Caenorhabditis elegans: one gene and its partner. The protein of the gene in region 2 purifies or fractionates together with the protein of the main gene of each other region. This does not show direct contact. Each region holds a gene or a part of one and is shown on either strand. Other genes may lie near its edges.

What was found. Proteins that work in one complex are often made in the same cells at the same time.
Region 1: the proteins of ubr-5 (region 2) and ddx-23 fractionate together in Caenorhabditis elegans (co-fractionation; one large-scale study listed by BioGRID). This does not show direct contact.

What each region holds. Positions count from the first base shown.
Region 1 is NC_003281.10:5,846,474-5,855,856, reverse strand, and holds ddx-23 (putative ATP-dependent RNA helicase DDX23), read left to right. Parts: upstream 1-2,587; 5' UTR 2,588-2,593; coding exon 2,594-2,665; intron 2,666-2,738; coding exon 2,739-4,316; intron 4,317-4,737; coding exon 4,738-4,993; intron 4,994-5,667; coding exon 5,668-5,754; intron 5,755-6,049; coding exon 6,050-6,126; intron 6,127-6,790; coding exon 6,791-6,913; 3' UTR 6,914-7,019; downstream 7,020-9,383. Other genes in the region: cct-6 (T-complex protein 1 subunit zeta), read left to right, coding at 175-311, 363-426, 475-609, 658-830, 884-1,599, 1,646-2,040.
Region 2 is NC_003279.8:8,834,287-8,841,945, forward strand, and holds the start of ubr-5 (E3 ubiquitin-protein ligase UBR5), read right to left. Parts: upstream 4,434-7,659; 5' UTR 4,361-4,433; intron 4,316-4,360; 5' UTR 4,308-4,315; coding exon 4,177-4,307; intron 4,119-4,176; coding exon 3,768-4,118; intron 3,722-3,767; coding exon 3,613-3,721; intron 3,565-3,612; coding exon 3,456-3,564; intron 3,411-3,455; coding exon 3,285-3,410; intron 3,232-3,284; coding exon 3,027-3,231; intron 2,981-3,026; coding exon 2,558-2,980; intron 2,499-2,557; coding exon 2,270-2,498; intron 2,220-2,269; coding exon 1,791-2,219; intron 1,743-1,790; coding exon 1,392-1,742; intron 1,343-1,391; coding exon 1,184-1,342; intron 1,142-1,183; coding exon 982-1,141; intron 935-981; coding exon 371-934; intron 327-370; coding exon 1-326. Other genes in the region: F29D10.1 (uncharacterized protein), read left to right, coding at 6,348-6,626, 6,675-6,842; F29D10.2 (uncharacterized protein), read left to right, coding at 7,484-7,534, 7,581-7,659.

The DNA.
Region 1 (9,383 bases), on a different chromosome or scaffold from region 2:
AAAAAGTTATGTAATAATACATTTTAGAACCTTTTTGAATTGTAATATGCTCTCGAACCTTTTTATGCGTGTCTATTTTCCTCTTGAATCGTTTTCCAATCTCATTTCTCCGTTTTTTAGTTTTTGTTGGTTTTACTGAGATATTTCATAGTTGAATTCTTGTTTTCAGGTAGTATGTCGTCAATCCAGTGCCTGAACCCGAAAGCTGAGTTAGCTAGGCATGCTGCCGCTCTCGAGCTTAATATTAGTGGAGCTCGTGGACTTCAAGACGTCATGAGATCGAACCTCGGACCAAAGGGAACTCTCAAGATGTGAGAATAAACTGATCAAATGTATAATTGAGACTATAATCACATTTTCAGGCTCGTATCTGGAGCTGGGGATATCAAATTGACGAAGGATGGAAATGTCTTGCTTCACGAAATGGTTTGATCGTTTTGTTCAGATTCAGCGTTTAGCACTATTTAATTTCAGGCGATTCAACATCCAACAGCCTCAATGATTGCCAAGGCTTCGACGGCACAAGACGACGTGACTGGAGATGGAACCACATCCACCGTTCTCCTTATCGGAGAGCTCTTGAAACAAGCCGAATCTCTAGTTCTCGAGGTGATCAATTTCCAAAGTTTAACTTTAAACATTTATTTAAAATTTTAGGGTCTTCATCCACGTATTGTTACTGAAGGCTTCGAGTGGGCTAACACAAAAACCCTCGAGTTGCTTGAAAAGTTCAAGAAAGAGGCTCCCGTTGAGCGTGACCTCCTTGTAGAGGTGTGCCGCACTGCTCTTCGTACCAAACTTCATCAGAAACTTGCTGATCACATCACCGAGTAAGAAACAAACAATTAAAAAGTAGTAAAAAACATTATCTTCTTAATTTCAGATGCGTTGTCGACGCCGTTTTGGCAATCCGTCGTGATGGAGAGGAACCAGATCTTCATATGGTTGAAAAGATGGAAATGCACCACGACAGTGATATGGATACCACACTTGTTCGTGGATTAGTTCTCGATCATGGAGCTCGTCACCCAGATATGCCAAGACACGTTAAAGACGCTTACATTCTCACTTGCAACGTTTCTTTGGAATACGAGAAGACTGAAGTCAACTCGGGACTTTTCTACAAGACCGCCAAGGAACGTGAGGCACTTCTCGCTGCCGAACGTGAATTCATTACTCGTCGTGTTCACAAGATTATTGAGTTGAAGAAGAAGGTTATTGATAATTCTCCAGATGGTAAGAATAAGGGATTCGTTGTTATCAACCAGAAAGGAATCGATCCTCCATCTCTTGACTTGCTTGCTTCCGAAGGAATTCTTGCTCTTCGTCGTGCCAAGAGACGTAACATGGAACGTCTTCAGCTGGCCGTCGGAGGAGAAGCCGTCAACTCAGTTGATGATTTGACTCCAGAGGATCTTGGATGGGCTGGACTCGTTTACGAGCATTCCCTTGGAGAAGAGAAATACACGTTTATCGAGGAATGCCGTGCTCCAAAATCTGTGACTCTTCTTATCAAGGGACCAAACAAGCATACCATCACTCAAATCAAGGATGCTATTCATGATGGACTTCGTGCTGTTTTCAACACCATCGTTGACAGTGAGTTTAAATTTTATTAACTTCTGTTCTAGTAACCTATTTTCAGAGGCTGTTCTCCCTGGAGCTGCTGCTTTCGAAATTGCTGCCTACGTGATGTTGAAAAAAGATGTTGAGAACCTGAAGGGACGTGCCAAGCTCGGAGCTGAAGCGTTTGCTCAAGCTCTTCTCGTTATTCCAAAGACACTGGCCGTAAATGGAGGATATGATGCTCAGGAAACACTTGTTAAGCTTATTGAGGAGAAAACCGCCGCTGGACCAGATATCGCCGTTGGACTCGATCTCGAAACCGGAGGAGCTGTCGAGCCACAAGGAATTTGGGACAATGTGACGGTGAAGAAGAACAGTATCTCGTCGGCGACAGTACTTGCATGCAATCTCTTGCTTGTTGATGAAGTGATGCGCGCTGGTATGACCAACTTGAAGCAGCCACAACCAGAATAAATATTAAAATTGTTTTTCTATTCCCCCCAGTGTGTCCGTTTCTATGATCTGTTGCCGTGTTTGATAATATTCCCCATCCCGTTCAACAAGCCCAACTTTACCGTTTGTTTTTATAGCTTTCTTCGAGCGATAATCAACAAAGATCGATCTGTTTTCTTTTTCTTTATTATCCCCCAATTTCTTAAATTTTCATCAAAATTTATTGCTTTTCATTTGAGAATTTGTTGATTTTTTCATGCACGTTCCTTTTTGATTTTGCGCAATAAAGGCTTCTTGCTTTTAATATTATTATGATTGGTTTCCGGTTGTGTATGTGCGCGAAGCTTTATTTCTATAGAAAATTAATATGATATTCGGAGAATTGACATTTTCGAATGTCCCGCTAAGAGAGCGCGGCCTAACAAATACCACCTCGGTCGCGTGTATTATATACGAAAAGGGTGAATGCATTTCTGTAGGTTTATGTTAAAAATTGGTTTTTTTACATTTTCCCATTGTAAAAGCATATTTTTAATTAGTTTTCCAAACATTTAAGTTCTTAAATTCCAGAGAAATGGCTGCTGAACCTCCATCACTTGAGGAACTTCTGGAAAAGAAGAAAAGAGAAGAAGATGAATTGGCAAAGGTATGTATTATTTTTTAATATCTCAAAAAACATCGCATATTTTTTAAAAACCAAACCATTTTCAAATTTTCAGCCAAAATTTCTGTCAAAAGCCGAGCGGGCCGCATTGGCTCTGAAACGAAGAGAAGAGGAGGTCGCAAAACTGCGTGAAACACAAAAACAAGCTGAAGAAGCTCGAAAAAATTGGGGACGCACCGAAAAAACATCAGACGATAGAAGAGATCGTGGACTTGACCGAGGCAATGATCGTGACAGAGACCGTGAACGGGAACGTGATCGTGATCGTCGACGGGATCGTCGGGAGAGAAGTGGTTCTCGAGATAGACGACGAAGGAGCAGGAGCCGTGATCGTGATGGTGGAAGGCGTCGAGATAGAAGTAGAAGTAGAGATAGAAGGGATCGAAATGATGATCGGAAAAGAGATAGAAACGAGGATAGTGATAATGAAGAAGATGTTAGTAAAATGGCAGATGCTGTTAAAGACAGATATCTTGGAAAACAGAAGGAAAAGAAGAAAAGAGGACGGAGACTTCATGAGAAAAAGTTTGTTTTTGATTGGGATGCTGGAGAGGATACATCACAGGATTATAACAAATTATATCAAAGTCGACATGAAATTCAGTTCTTTGGAAGAGGATCTGTTGCTGGAACGGATGTGAATGCTCAGAAAAAAGAGAAGAACTCGTTCTACCAGGAAATGATGGAAAATCGAAGAACTGTTGATGAGAAAGAGCAAGAGATGCATCGCCTTGAAAAAGAACTGAAAAAAGAAAAGAAAGTGGCTCATGATGATCGTCATTGGAGAATGAAAGAACTTTCTGAGATGTCTGACAGAGATTGGCGTATCTTCCGTGAAGATTTCAATATTTCTATTAAAGGAGGCAGAGTTCCACGACCTCTTCGTAATTGGGAAGAAGCTGGATTTCCAGATGAAGTCTACCAAGCTGTCAAAGAAATTGGTTATCTGGAACCTACACCTATTCAGAGACAAGCCATCCCAATTGGTCTTCAGAATCGTGACGTAATCGGTGTAGCTGAAACTGGATCAGGAAAAACTGCAGCTTTCCTTCTACCGCTGCTTGTATGGATCACAAGCCTTCCAAAAATGGAACGACAAGAACATCGGGACTTGGGTCCATATGCTATTATTATGGCTCCAACAAGAGAATTGGCTCAGCAGATTGAAGAGGAAACCAACAAGTTCGGAAAGCTTCTCGGTATCAAGACCGTTTCAGTAATCGGAGGAGCCAGCAGAGAAGATCAAGGAATGAAGCTTCGAATGGGTGTTGAAGTGGTCATTGCAACACCAGGTCGTCTTCTCGATGTTCTGGAAAATCGATATCTTCTCCTGAATCAGTGTACCTATGTGATCCTTGACGAAGCTGATCGAATGCTTGACATGGGATTTGAACCAGATGTTCAGAAGGTTCTGGAGTACATGCCAGATACAAATATGAAGAAAGATACGGATGAATTCGATAATGAAGAAGCTTTGATGAAGGGATTCTCAACAAGAGAGAAATATCGACAAACTGTCATGTTCACAGCTACAATGTCTTCAGCTATCGAAAGACTTGCCAGACAATATCTCAGAAGACCAGCAGTTGTACATATTGGATCTGCTGGAAAGCCTACAGAAAGAGTTGAACAGGTAATTTATTTTATTCTTGGTAGAAAAGAAAAATAATTATGAGAATCGTTTTTCATATTTCGACATTAAGCTGAACTAGAAAAATTACTAGAACTAAGGCAGCTTCCTAAAGTAGCTTCATAAAAGTTGTTAACTAAAATTTGCTAAAAACTAATTAAGAACACCCAAAAAATTGTTTTTTAACTGAAAAAAGTGAAAAATTGTTTGGTTTTTTGTTGGTTTTCTAAAAAATAAAATCAAAAAATTAATTTTTCGTCAAATTACCAAAAAATGCCAAAAAAAAGTCCCATCTCTGGATTGAAACCACGCAGAAAGGGGGAATTCTGTTTTCAGTGTCTTTTTTCAGAGGCTAGTATTTTTTAGTAAGAAATTTCAAAAAAATTTCAAGTTTTTTAAAAATTCCAAAATATTTCGTATTCAGGTAGTCTACATGGTTCCAGAGGATCGTAAACGTAAGAAGCTCGTCGAAGTGCTCGAATCACAATTCCAACCACCGATTATTATTTTTGTCAATCAGAAGAAAGGTGCTGATATGCTCTCAAAAGGTCTTACCAAACTTGGTTTCAAGCCAACAGTTCTTCACGGAGGAAAAGGTCAAGATCAAAGAGAATACGCTCTGCAGGCTCTTAAAGAAGGAACGAGTGATATTCTTGTGGCTACTGATGTTGCTGGAAGAGGTTCGTTTTTTTTTTTGGAAAAAAATTGTTGATTCAAATACTTTTTTCAAGTATATATATACCGTATATTCTCTATTAGAGCGGCGTATCTAATAGTACGGCGTATCTATTAGAGCGGCACCCTAACTGGCTCTTCGAAAATTAGAGCGGCAGTCTCTATTAGTGTGGCACCCCTTTTTTTGGGTGCGAGAGCCACCTCAATTATTCGATTTCTTCGAAGATATTTTTGTTCATTCTTGAATGAATTCATAAATTTTCATTTAAATATTGAATTTTAGTGTCTTTGTGAGGCAAAATTACACAATTTTCACGAATTTTTCCATAAAATATGAGGTTTTATAAGGAAATTTTGAGGTTACTACTCCCAACAGTAGTAACTTCAATATGAAAATTAGTTATCGAAAATTAGTGCGGCAGTATCCAGTAGAACGGCAGTCTCTAATAGAGCGCACGTCGCGAAGGGCCCGGAAATTAGTGCGGCATGCCGCTCTAATAGAGAATATACGGTATATAACGTTTCTTGAAAGTTTCAAACTCTTCTGAATGAAAACCCAAAAATTTGAGATTCCCCTATTTAAAAAAAAAACTAATTGAAGAGGTTTGATTCGAAATGTAACTAAAAAATTATAAATTCAAAGTTTTGAAAATCAAAATAATATCCACTTAATTTTCAGGTATCGACGTCAAAGATGTATCACTGGTACTCAACTACGATATGGCAAAATCAATTGAAGACTATACTCACAGAATTGGTAGAACTGGTATGTTTTTATTCACTTTTTCTGTGGAAATTTTTTGATGAAGTGTAATTTTCTGTTTTGGGAAAATATGAGATTCTTGAGGACATCATTTTTTTAAAATTTATCTCCACATAGTATGATTTATTACAACGGAAAAAAGATAAAGAACAGCGGAGCAGTAAGAAATTATTTAAAGAAAATTTTAAAAAATGAAAAAAAATGCGTAGAAGTTTTCATAAATTTTGAAGCTACTAGCATCTGAAAACTTCCACACTTTTCTTCTTGATCACATATAATAATTTCTTTTAAATTTCAGGTCGAGCTGGTAAACATGGAAAAGCAATCACATTCCTCACACCTGACGATACTGCCGTCTATTTCGACTTGAAGCAGGTAAAAATTGTGACGGAAACCGGACACCAAAAATGATATTGGACCTAAAAATCAAAAAATTTTTGTTTTGATTTTAGGTCGAAAAATAAAAATTGAAATTTGCGAAAAATTAAAGAAGAAACTAAACAAGAAAAACGAAAAATTGAGGACTTTAGTTTAATTTTTATTTTTAAAGAACAATGAAAAAATGAAAATTTTTTAAAGATAAAAAATCCAACAAAAAAAATTTAATTTTTTGTCCAAATATCAACAAAAAAGAAAAGATTTGCATTCGGTTTTCTGAAAGATAATCGATGAAATAAGTAGTTAAAAATGAAAACATCAGTTAATCGTTTCATAAAATATTTAAAAAAAATATTTTAAGCGTTCTTGAACAATTTAGAAAAAAAAAATCCACTTTTGGGTTACTGTAGTTACTGCAAGCGAATTAAAATTACAATGAAAAAAAGAAACAACTCCGAAAAAAATTTATTCGAATAAGGTTAATTCGATGAGATGCCCTTTAATTAAGTCGTTAATGAATGTTTTGAATTTAATTTTCAAAATTTCCGTCTAATTCCAAGATAATCGTTTTTGAAAGTTTTTTTTTTCAAAAGTTTCAAAAGAAAATGTATCACTCAATAAATACTTTTAATAAAAATATTTTAACTCGTATTTTTTCCAGGTTCTGGTCGAATCGCCAGTGTCATCATGCCCACCTGAACTTGCGAATCATCCGGATGCACAGAGTAAGCCTGGAGTGTTTACATCAAAGAAACGACAAGATGAAACATTGTTCTTGAAGTGATAATTCTCTTTTTTGTTTGGAAAATCTCAACATTTATATTTATTTATTCAATTTTTATATGATTGTTCTACCAGATCTGTTAAATAAATACTCCTGACCCCATCATTCCGTTCAAATTTCATTATTAATTCCAGAATAGGAAAATGATCATGAAAAGTTGCTCTCTGTCGGATTTCCAAGAGCACATTATTCGGAGAATGTGTGTTTTAAAGCTAGTCTCGTGGAAAAATTCAAATTAAATGAATTCTCATGTTAGGAAGCAAAATAATTAATTTTTCGATTTTAAGAAACGAAATTGAAAGTTTAAAAATCTGAAATATTTCACTCCACACTGATCATAATTTTTTTAAAATAAAATAAAATAGTATTTTGAAATACGTTTTACTAGTTATTGTGAAAAAAGGAAAACTGAAAATAAATAAATAAATCTTTAAAGGTTGGGTACATGTTAGATAATTATAAAAATAAGAAGTTCGTCGACGTGTTCGAATCGTTTTTCCAAAAAACCTTCGCCAAGGAATAAAACCTAACAAAATCATAATGTTGTCAAAAAAAATGGGCCGACATGCTCTCAAAAGGTCTCGTAAACCTGAAGATCAAATCCACGGTTTTTCACGGAGGAAAGACTCACTGGGGAACCGTCAGAAGGTGCCCATCAAACTAGCATATGAGATTCGATAGCCCATGTCTTAAAACGGTTACTCGAGAATTTTTAGCGGTGAAGCTCCAGAACCAAACTCACGGCGGGCTCTCAAAGATCCTGAAAATAGCACTTTAACGAAGCATTGAAGGGCCTACTTTCCAATTTCACTTTGGTAGCTCATATCTCCGCGGATAAATTTTTTACAGAAAAGTCATCAACTAAAAAGTTGTTGATATTGTTGTAAAGAACAAGTTTGTAGTTGAAAGTTTTTTATCAAAAACATTTTTGCTTGAGATAAAAGCGCGTGAAGTGCGGCAACTGTTGCTGTTATTTTTAAGCTGTTGCTATTCTAATGCTTTTATCTCAAACAAAATGTTTTTTGGTAAAAAACTTTCAGCTACAAACTTTTACTTTCCAACAATATCAACAACTTTTTAGTTGATGACTTTTCTGTAAAAAATTTATCCGCGGAGATATTTTAGGATATTTGAAAGCCCGCCGCGAGCTTAGCTCTGGAGTTTTACTGCTAAACATTCACGGGTAACCGTTTTAAGACCTGGGCGTTCGAATGACAAAGATCTCATATGCAAGTCCGATGGACACCTTCTGACGGTTCCCTAGTCAGGAACAGGGAGAATCCGCCTTTAAAGATCTAGGCTTTAAAAGGTTAGATGGATACCGTACTCTTTTTGTTACTGATGTTGCTTAAAGAGGTTCGTGGTTTGTGCTGTTAAAAATTCTTTGAATTATGAAAAATGTCGGGAATTTTTGTTAGAAGTTCAGTTAAAAATTCATTAAAAATTATGAATGTTTTAAAAATAAAAATAATATTCACTTGATTTCCAGGGATCGACGTCAAAGATGTATCACTGGTACTCAACTACGATATGGCAAAACCAATCGAAGACTATACTCACAGAATTTATATAACTGGTATGTCTTTATTTACTTTTTCTGTGGAAATTTTTAGATTTAATTATTTTTTCTGTAGTTCAAATATCTTCCAAAATAGAAATAGGTGAATAATAACGCGAAACTGCTAAAAAAAATGTGTTACCCAAATTTTATATATTCTCATTAAAACTTAACACACCATCTCCCTCAAAGTATTGTTGAATATACAATAGCTGTTGAGGAATATCCTTTTCTTTTCCCCCTAAACCGTCGCCTTGACAACATCTAAACTCTCTGGGCGTTGCCTCGGTTAAGGCTCTTTTCTTTCGCTCTTGCTCTTCTCAATGAGTTTGCAGCTGCCCTTTTCGTCATCCGTATCATTCCGTGCATATTGTCTCTATTTTAAGCTTCTTCTGTTGCGGTCCTTCTCATCAACATACTCCTTCATGCGGAAAGTGCATGTGTGTCAGTTATGACATGATCTTCCGACGCCCATGAAAACACGGCAAAGGTATCGAAGAAGAGAAGCTTCAGCAACATCAGCTCCACGTTTTTTCGTCAATTTGTGCATGGACGCATTTTGTTGCCATTCTGGCCGATTGAGTGTGCCACGGCGACGGCTCCTCTTCTTTTTCCTCCTGGTTGGCCTCTTTCTTCAGCTTCTTCTTTTTTCCCGTTTCCCCTCCACATTTCGAGCAAATTCAGGCTATTTTTGCTCTCTCTTTCTTTTTTCTCTGTCTTGTTGAGCATAGAGACAGCATAACACATACACACAAGAAAAAGGAAATGCGAGAATTTCTCACAGCTTCTCCTTTTTTTCCAATTTCAAAGTGTCACACGTGAAACTCGATTGAAGTTTTCCTTTTTTCGAAGCGAGAAATGAGATATGAGGGCATTTTTTTCCATATCTCAATTTTCAGTGTTGACCTCGAA
Region 2 (7,659 bases):
ACACGTTTTGCACTCGTAAATATCTTGATTAATATGATCTTCTCCTGTCCAAGTGAATGAACACACATCGTTGTAGCAAAGAATGAAAAGCGGAGAGTCGTCAGCATTGTGACTTTCATCGACGTTAAAACTCGGGAAAATGTACTTCAATTTCTGCTCCTCCGACATCGTCTGGAATCCTAATTGCAATAATGCTCTCCAAATACTAGTCGCAGCACCGTAAGCTCGCTGATTTATGGCTGATTGGAAAGGAGTCATTCCATTAAGATCACGCGTAAGTAGAAGCGCCTTCACAGCAGACAGACGGTCCGGTTCATCCACATATTCTGAAAAAATTTTGTTTTGAAAGTTTCGTATTTCAAAAATATACCAATATGTTCTTCAGCGTCCTTGTCATAAAACATTGCTGGATGTTTCAGAAAAGTGTCAATAATCTGAAGTGCTGATTTTTGACGGACCATCGGTGGCCTTGGAGATCCGAACGGCATCCCACTTTCATCTGATCGTACTGCAGAGAACGAATGATTTTCACCTCCGTACTCGTCGTTTTCTTCAGAATCAGCTCGTTTTTCTTTTTTCGATTTCTTTGAAGGTGTCACTTGCTCTCTTTTCGGTCTGCTTCTGAGTACTCGTGACCATCGTGGCTCTTCCTCATCATCAATTTCATCGCCTTGCATATTGGAAGAGCTCGATTCTTCTGCTGGGGCTGCATCTTCCATGGATACATCTTGTGGTGGTAGTGTAATATTTCGGGTTGGGAACAATGTTGGCATAGTTGTATCAGGAACAGCTTTATCAGAATCTTCCGAGTTTTTGGTAGCACTTGTTAGCCGGATCGCCGCATGTAAGACGTTTGAGCAAAGATCCGAGGTGATAGTGAACAATTGTTCGCTCATAATCTGCCGGAACTCATGATGACTGATGGTACAGCTCACTGAAAATTGATTCCAAATTTTATAAATAACAATTTCTAATACATACTTCTCAACTCGAATAATCGATCTAAAAATTGACTGACACCATCTGCGTCACAGTACAAGACCATTTGCATCAAAGACGATCCATCTTTGATGAAATGACTATGCCAAGGACGATCAACGCCAGGAATAATCAGCATCGAACCTTGCCATTGAGAATTTTTCTGAAAACTGGTTTGAATTTTTGTCGGTAAGTCATTATCTACCTCGCAAGACGCCAGCACGTTAAAACTGGGTCTACATGCAGTAGCGATGTGAAGAATTGGTTGAGAATGCATTGCTGGTGGTTCACGGAATCCATTTAAAGCATCACGTTGAAGAGGAATCAATTGACCAGCAGTGTCTCGTAGGAAAAGTGTCCGAGCCTGCAAATAGTGTTCAGATGTTTAGTACTACTAGATATTTAAATCTTACATCTCCGAAACTGATCAGCTTTGGAGACAATCCTCCAAAAATTGGACGTTCAACAGATGGGAGAAATACAGGAACTCGTCTTCTTGAAATAACTTTTCCGTTCGTGCTTACTCGGTACATGTGCATTCCACGTTCGACGTGTTTACTTCGAGCCAACACCCGGAGTTCATTCAAATCAGCTACCATTGATACAATTGTTCGATTACAATCTACATCGAATTTCAACAATTCCTTTTGCAAAATGACTGGAGCACGTGGAGGACACTTGTCAATTACTTGTAAATCTTCTTTACGCATTAGACGTATCTTGTCGATATCCGTAGATTTTTCGATTGAAATCACAGTCTGAGGCTGAAATTTGGAAAATAATTCAAGAATGCAATATTCAATTAAAGTTACCATTCCGTCCATTTCAAGTCTCTCGCTAAATAAACTCTGGAAAATTGGTTTCTGGCTGGAATTTGGCACATGCTTAACAGCAACCAGGTTATTGTCAACGACTTGCACCGTCATGACATCTCTTTTCCGATGCTCGTGAATCCATACAAGATCTTCGGCGAGCCAAACTTCAACGCGTCGTCGTCCGAACTCTGTGGGTGGAACACTATTCGAATCGTCTGCTTCGTCGTGGGTTCGTTTCCGAGAGACTCTTCCCCCTGGGAGCGTTTTGGTTGAGGTTCCACTGGCAGAAGATACTTCTGGTGATGCTCCGTTCAGTAGAGCAATGAATCCATCAACTTCAAGCTCGTAATCGTATTCTTTAGGTGTCATGCTGCGAAAACGGCAGTGGTCTGTGGCACTCCAGCAATCTTCCAGAAGAACTCCAATCTGGAAAAAAGTTGTCATCTACATCATAAATTCTTATTTTGAAAAAATACCATGGGGTTGCTAGTGTCTATTTGAGCAGCAACACTTCCTGCAGGATACAGAGGAGCTTTTTTCATTTGAACTTGTTGTCCCACAAAAAATTCAATCGAATTCGATTGAACCGCCGGTATAGATGACACAGGTGCTTCTCCAAATGACACATGCTTCTTTTTCTCACGATCTGCTTCTTCTTTTTCCTTTTTAGTAGAGCGTGTACTTTCCACAAGAGGCACAATACCACTGAAACAATTAATGAGATATTTTGATGTATATTTCTAGGGAAATGACATCAAACATACCACCAATGAATAATGCTATCGATTCGAAACGCGGCAAGATGATCGCTGGTAACCAGATCTTGAACGGCCATCACCGAGTCTTCTGAGATCTTAGTGACTGTTTCAGAAGCAAGTGAAAATCGAACGCCTGCTCCACATTCATCGAGCCAGCTGACCAAATGACCGGATCGGGTGAGAATTGAGATTCTCAAGTTACTGGATGACATTTGAATAACAGGATTTCCATGTGTTCCGATTGTAGCATGGTCGGGATGATCTCGGTTTTTAACAATAGTCAAAGGATCATCAAGACCTTCAGACTCATCCCACGCCCATGAGTACATTTTGCCGTTTCTGTGAAGAGCATACATCTGATAACTTGTTGCCGTGATACTAATTACTGGATTTGCTTTATCGTCTTCAGATTTTACTGGAGCATCGGTTCTGAAAGCAATGGATTGAATGCACATATTGATTCTAAGAAAACTACTTTGCATGCTCAGGAATTCCGTCTCCTGGAGCTCCACGCCACCACTCAACATGTTCTCCCAACTGTATGCAATTCTTCCAATTTGTCTCACTATCTTTCTTCTTTTTGTCCTTCTCGTTTGCTTTTGGCTTTTTACTACCGGACGCACCTCCGAAATGATATCTCATTTCGGCTCGAGATGCCAGTGAATCCAGCAAACGATCTTCTGTAGCAACAACGAAGGGGATAATGAACAATATATTTGAATAAGGCACCTACCACGTTCTAGCAGACTTTCAGCCATTGCAACAGCTCCACTACTTCCTGGTGGAACACCACCTTCCAAAATTTGAAGTAACTCCTCTGGAATCAGATGTTCTCCTCCGACATCTAGTACATCTTGCTCTGTAAAAATAATGAAATTTTCCATTTTAATTTAAATATTCAAACCATCTCCATCGTCCCTTGAAAGCAAATTATTGACTGCTTCATTTACATTTAGGCCAGTTCTTTGGAGTTCTCTGATGATTACATCCCTAGACTTTCCTTGTAGAACTTGCTGAAAAAGATCATCAAATAATGTTATTTTATCACGACAAATACGAACTTGAACATTATTGATGAGTTCCTCTGGAACATTTGTTGCAGGAACTCGGGGAGCACCTAGAACATAGCTTCTTGATTCACCGAGGTTGCCACGAAGACGATAATAAGCTCTGAAGGATTAAATTAATTATTGAACATGTTTTTTAACGCAAAAACCTGTTTGAAAGCATAACTCTCCGATATTTGGCTTGTCCAGCTGCTGCTCTCAGTGTGTTCATACCACCACTCAATGGAATGACCTCTACTTCTCCAGCAGCACCAGCTCGAGCATAAACATCGTGCAACCGCGATGATGGTTCTCCTTTGACGGCCTCAGCCTCCTTCACCTCTCCGCTTTGAATTTGAAGAACATGATATGGGATCCGACAGACAGTTGCATCATCCAACAGCACTCCCACATGCTTCGGGCCGAGCACAACTTGTCTAATTCGCGAGGGGCCAAGAGAAGCGATTGCTGGATTTGCCAAAATGTTTCCTATGTTTTCTTGCTTGAACTGGTCGACAATTCTGCAAAATTTGTTTGTTTAGACCATAGCTGGCATTTTCTAAAGACTTGAACACGTACAAATCAATAATTGCAGAGTCTTTCTTCTCATCTCCGACAGCTTCTTGTGCGTACAAAACGTGCGTAAGCGTGTGATTTCTTGCCGGGGCCGACGAGCTCTGCTCTTCACCGTCAACTGAATGCCCACTCATTCCTTGTCCTGAAAAAAAAAGTTAATAACTTTCAAGAGATAAAATATTCTCACCTGGTGTTTGACGACGGTGTTTCCGTCCTTTTCTTTTCGTATGCTTCACCAATTTGTTTTAAAGGTTTACAGCCTGCAATGGATAAATATAAATAACAAGTTTACAGTTTTTCTTAGAACAATCTTTAAGAGCACGACTGGCAAAATTCAATGAACTTTCACTCTACAATTTAAAAATCCCCAAGAGAAAACTAATTATATTTATTCGAAAACCCCGAAAGTTTCGTAATATCTTGAAAAAACTTTCGTTAGCTTTGAAAGAATTATCAACTGAAAATGAGCACGGCTTCTTTATTGAACATATAATTTTCTTTTTAAATAGAAAGTTGTTGGAAGTGAACATTTCTATTGTATCAACTTAAAAAGCGATTTTTGTTAATTTTTCGCGATTTTGTTACTACATTGTTCAGTAATTAACAACAAATAAAGGAATAATACTTCAATTTTTGAAGCTGAAGTGCTACAATTTCCAGATTTAAAAAAATTCGGAAAAAATGGAGAACTGAGCGCGAAGTATGACTTAAACAACGGAAATGCACAAGTAAAAGCGAGCGAACGGCATTTGATTGAGAGTTACCTCCTTTGGTGGTCTGCGTCTCTCATCTCTCACCCTTTCTCTAATACTCTCTTCCTGGCGCGCGCGCGCTCTCTCTCACTCTCTCTTTTCAATTGACCGGTCTCGAAGCGACTGATGAAAGGGCCCGCGGCGGTGATACGATAGAAATTTATGCTTTGAATGTTCAAATTAATATATTCAAATAATATATTTTGATGATTTACTAATAAAAGTTCTAGCAATGGCAAAGTTAACTTTAAAGCTTCAATTGTGAAGATATTTATTGGGAAATCGATTTTTCTAAAAACTCATGAAACGGGCTAAAATTACTTATTTTCAGAACTTGGCAAAAGTGTTTAAATATTTTCAATTTGTATTTAGATGTCGTTATTCAGACTTCTATGCAGAGTGTCAACTTTTGTATCGATCTACGGAAGCTACGCCTGTTTTACTGTTTTTTAACAACAAATTTAAATACAAAAACTACGATTATGAACCAGAAAAATTCGAATTTTGAATTTATTTTGTAACTGTAAAGATTTTGAGTTGAAAACTAAAGTTATATTTATGGAAATGAGGCGGAAAAATAAGAATGATGATTCTAAATAGCAATTCACAGATACTATTAGGGTTACTGTAGTGGTGAACTATGCATACGGTGTGTGCCAGATGGAGTTAAGAACACTTACAACACAAGTTCATGTCACCTTTGTGTAATCCAATTTTCCCCATATTCAGCAAAATTTTTTTTTAAATTTTAATCAGTTTACTGAAATATGTATAAGATTAGATCTTTGTTGCTACACTCAAGTTTAACTTTTCGTTGTTTTTTTCTAAATCAATCTCTTAAAATATTAATATAGATCACGTTTTTGACATTTTAATAATTACACTTACACCCCCCACAACGATGTCAATTTATTCATTTTACCATTTTGTTTAGAAAATATGATAAACGTTGTATTTTCATGGATTGGCAGGTAAGAAGAGAGAGATTTTTCAAACTGTTAAAGCACGTGGTGTCAGGCTTCATCTCCGGAAATTGCGCCTAATTTAGACACTTTCATAGATCAAACCGAGAGAGACTCTGACACCACGTGTAACTGTGGAATAGCACCAGTTGTGATTTCTGGCTCATTCTGTTCCACTCAGTAATATTAGTGAGAAAACTCTAGAAGTACCCTGTATGAGGAGGGGTCTATTATTGATTTTTCTTATGTATTGCTATTTAGATGTATACCAGAACGGTATGACTGAAAAAAATAATGATGTTTGTGTGTGAAATATAGATGAAATAAAGTGCTGGTGGTACGATACAAGAAAAATCTATAATAGGCCTTGTCTCTATATGGATATTTTTGTGTTTTTCAATCTATTATGCATCTAAATACTTCTCGGAATTTTTCGTCAATAGAACAGAGCAAGGAAAAAATGGCACAAATGATTGAGCACTTTGAAATTTTTGTTTTGTGTAAAATAACTTTTACACTTTTCAGAATAACTTTTGCGATTATCGTATTGCTATCATTTTCATTTTCACTTCTTGTGATTTGTGTGAAAAAGAAGACAAAAAAGGAAAAACACCCTGACTCTCCACCCACTTTGGTAACACCACCACCACAGGGAGCCAAATTGTCTTGGAAAGGACGACAGAAGCCGTTGGTTGTATTTGATGAAAAGCTATCGGACCAGTCTAAAAAAGAAAAAAGTGTAAGTATAACAGTTATAATTTTTATTTCCAATATCTCCCATTTTCAGGTGAAAATCCCAAAAACTGTAGAGGAGTCGGAGAAGATAGTGAAAGTCAAGAAAGTTCCATCTTCCCAAAAAGTTTGTGATTCGTCAGCATCTAGTAAGAAACGAAAGTCGCCTAAAAAGAAGAGTGAAGATGTGGATGAACTGAAAACTGAAACTGAACGGGAATAATGTGAACTTTTTGCATAATAAATTAATTTTTGAAAGTTAATTGAAAACAGGTGGTACACCAGAATAAATCGGGCGTTTTGAAAAAAGTAATTTCAATCAAAGAAATAACTATTATCTGTGATCACAGTTAATTTACGATGTGCCCACCAGTACACTCGCAGGGTTTCGATCCAGGGCATGAAAGCAAGAAGGCAGACACGTAGGCGTGATCTTCAAAACTTAAGCCTTCATTTCAAAACTTAAGCATCTCAAAATCGAATAATCGTCTTCACCTGAGTCGAAAGAAAAATACTTTATCATCCATCGCATCCATGGGTGTTATGGATCATATAATCCACAACATCCTCCATTTTTCCACGAGATTCACGAGCTTTCACGCGATTCCAATAAGAGTTGATTCGAGAATTGATGTTTCAGATGTAATTACAGATATTTCTAATGTTGATACTGGCAACAACCATTTATTTTCCATGCTTCAAAGTGTCTTAGTTTTTTGCTCAGTTTCCATGACGCGACTTGCGCGGATAGATCACAAAAAATGGTTTTCCGGCAAAAGTGTCAAATGAGAGACGACAAACACGTAAGAACGAATATATAATAGATGGAAATTGAGAGTTTATATCGAAAACTAATAATTTAAAATGAGTAAGATTGTACTCTTGGCCCTCTTCGCTGTTATTACCATTTCACAGGTATCAGTACATTGTATAAATATAAACAAAACCAATACATATTTAGGTTGAATCAGGAGTGTTGCCAGTATCAACAACAGAAATAACTTTAGTTTCATCTGAAACATCAATTATCGAATCATCTC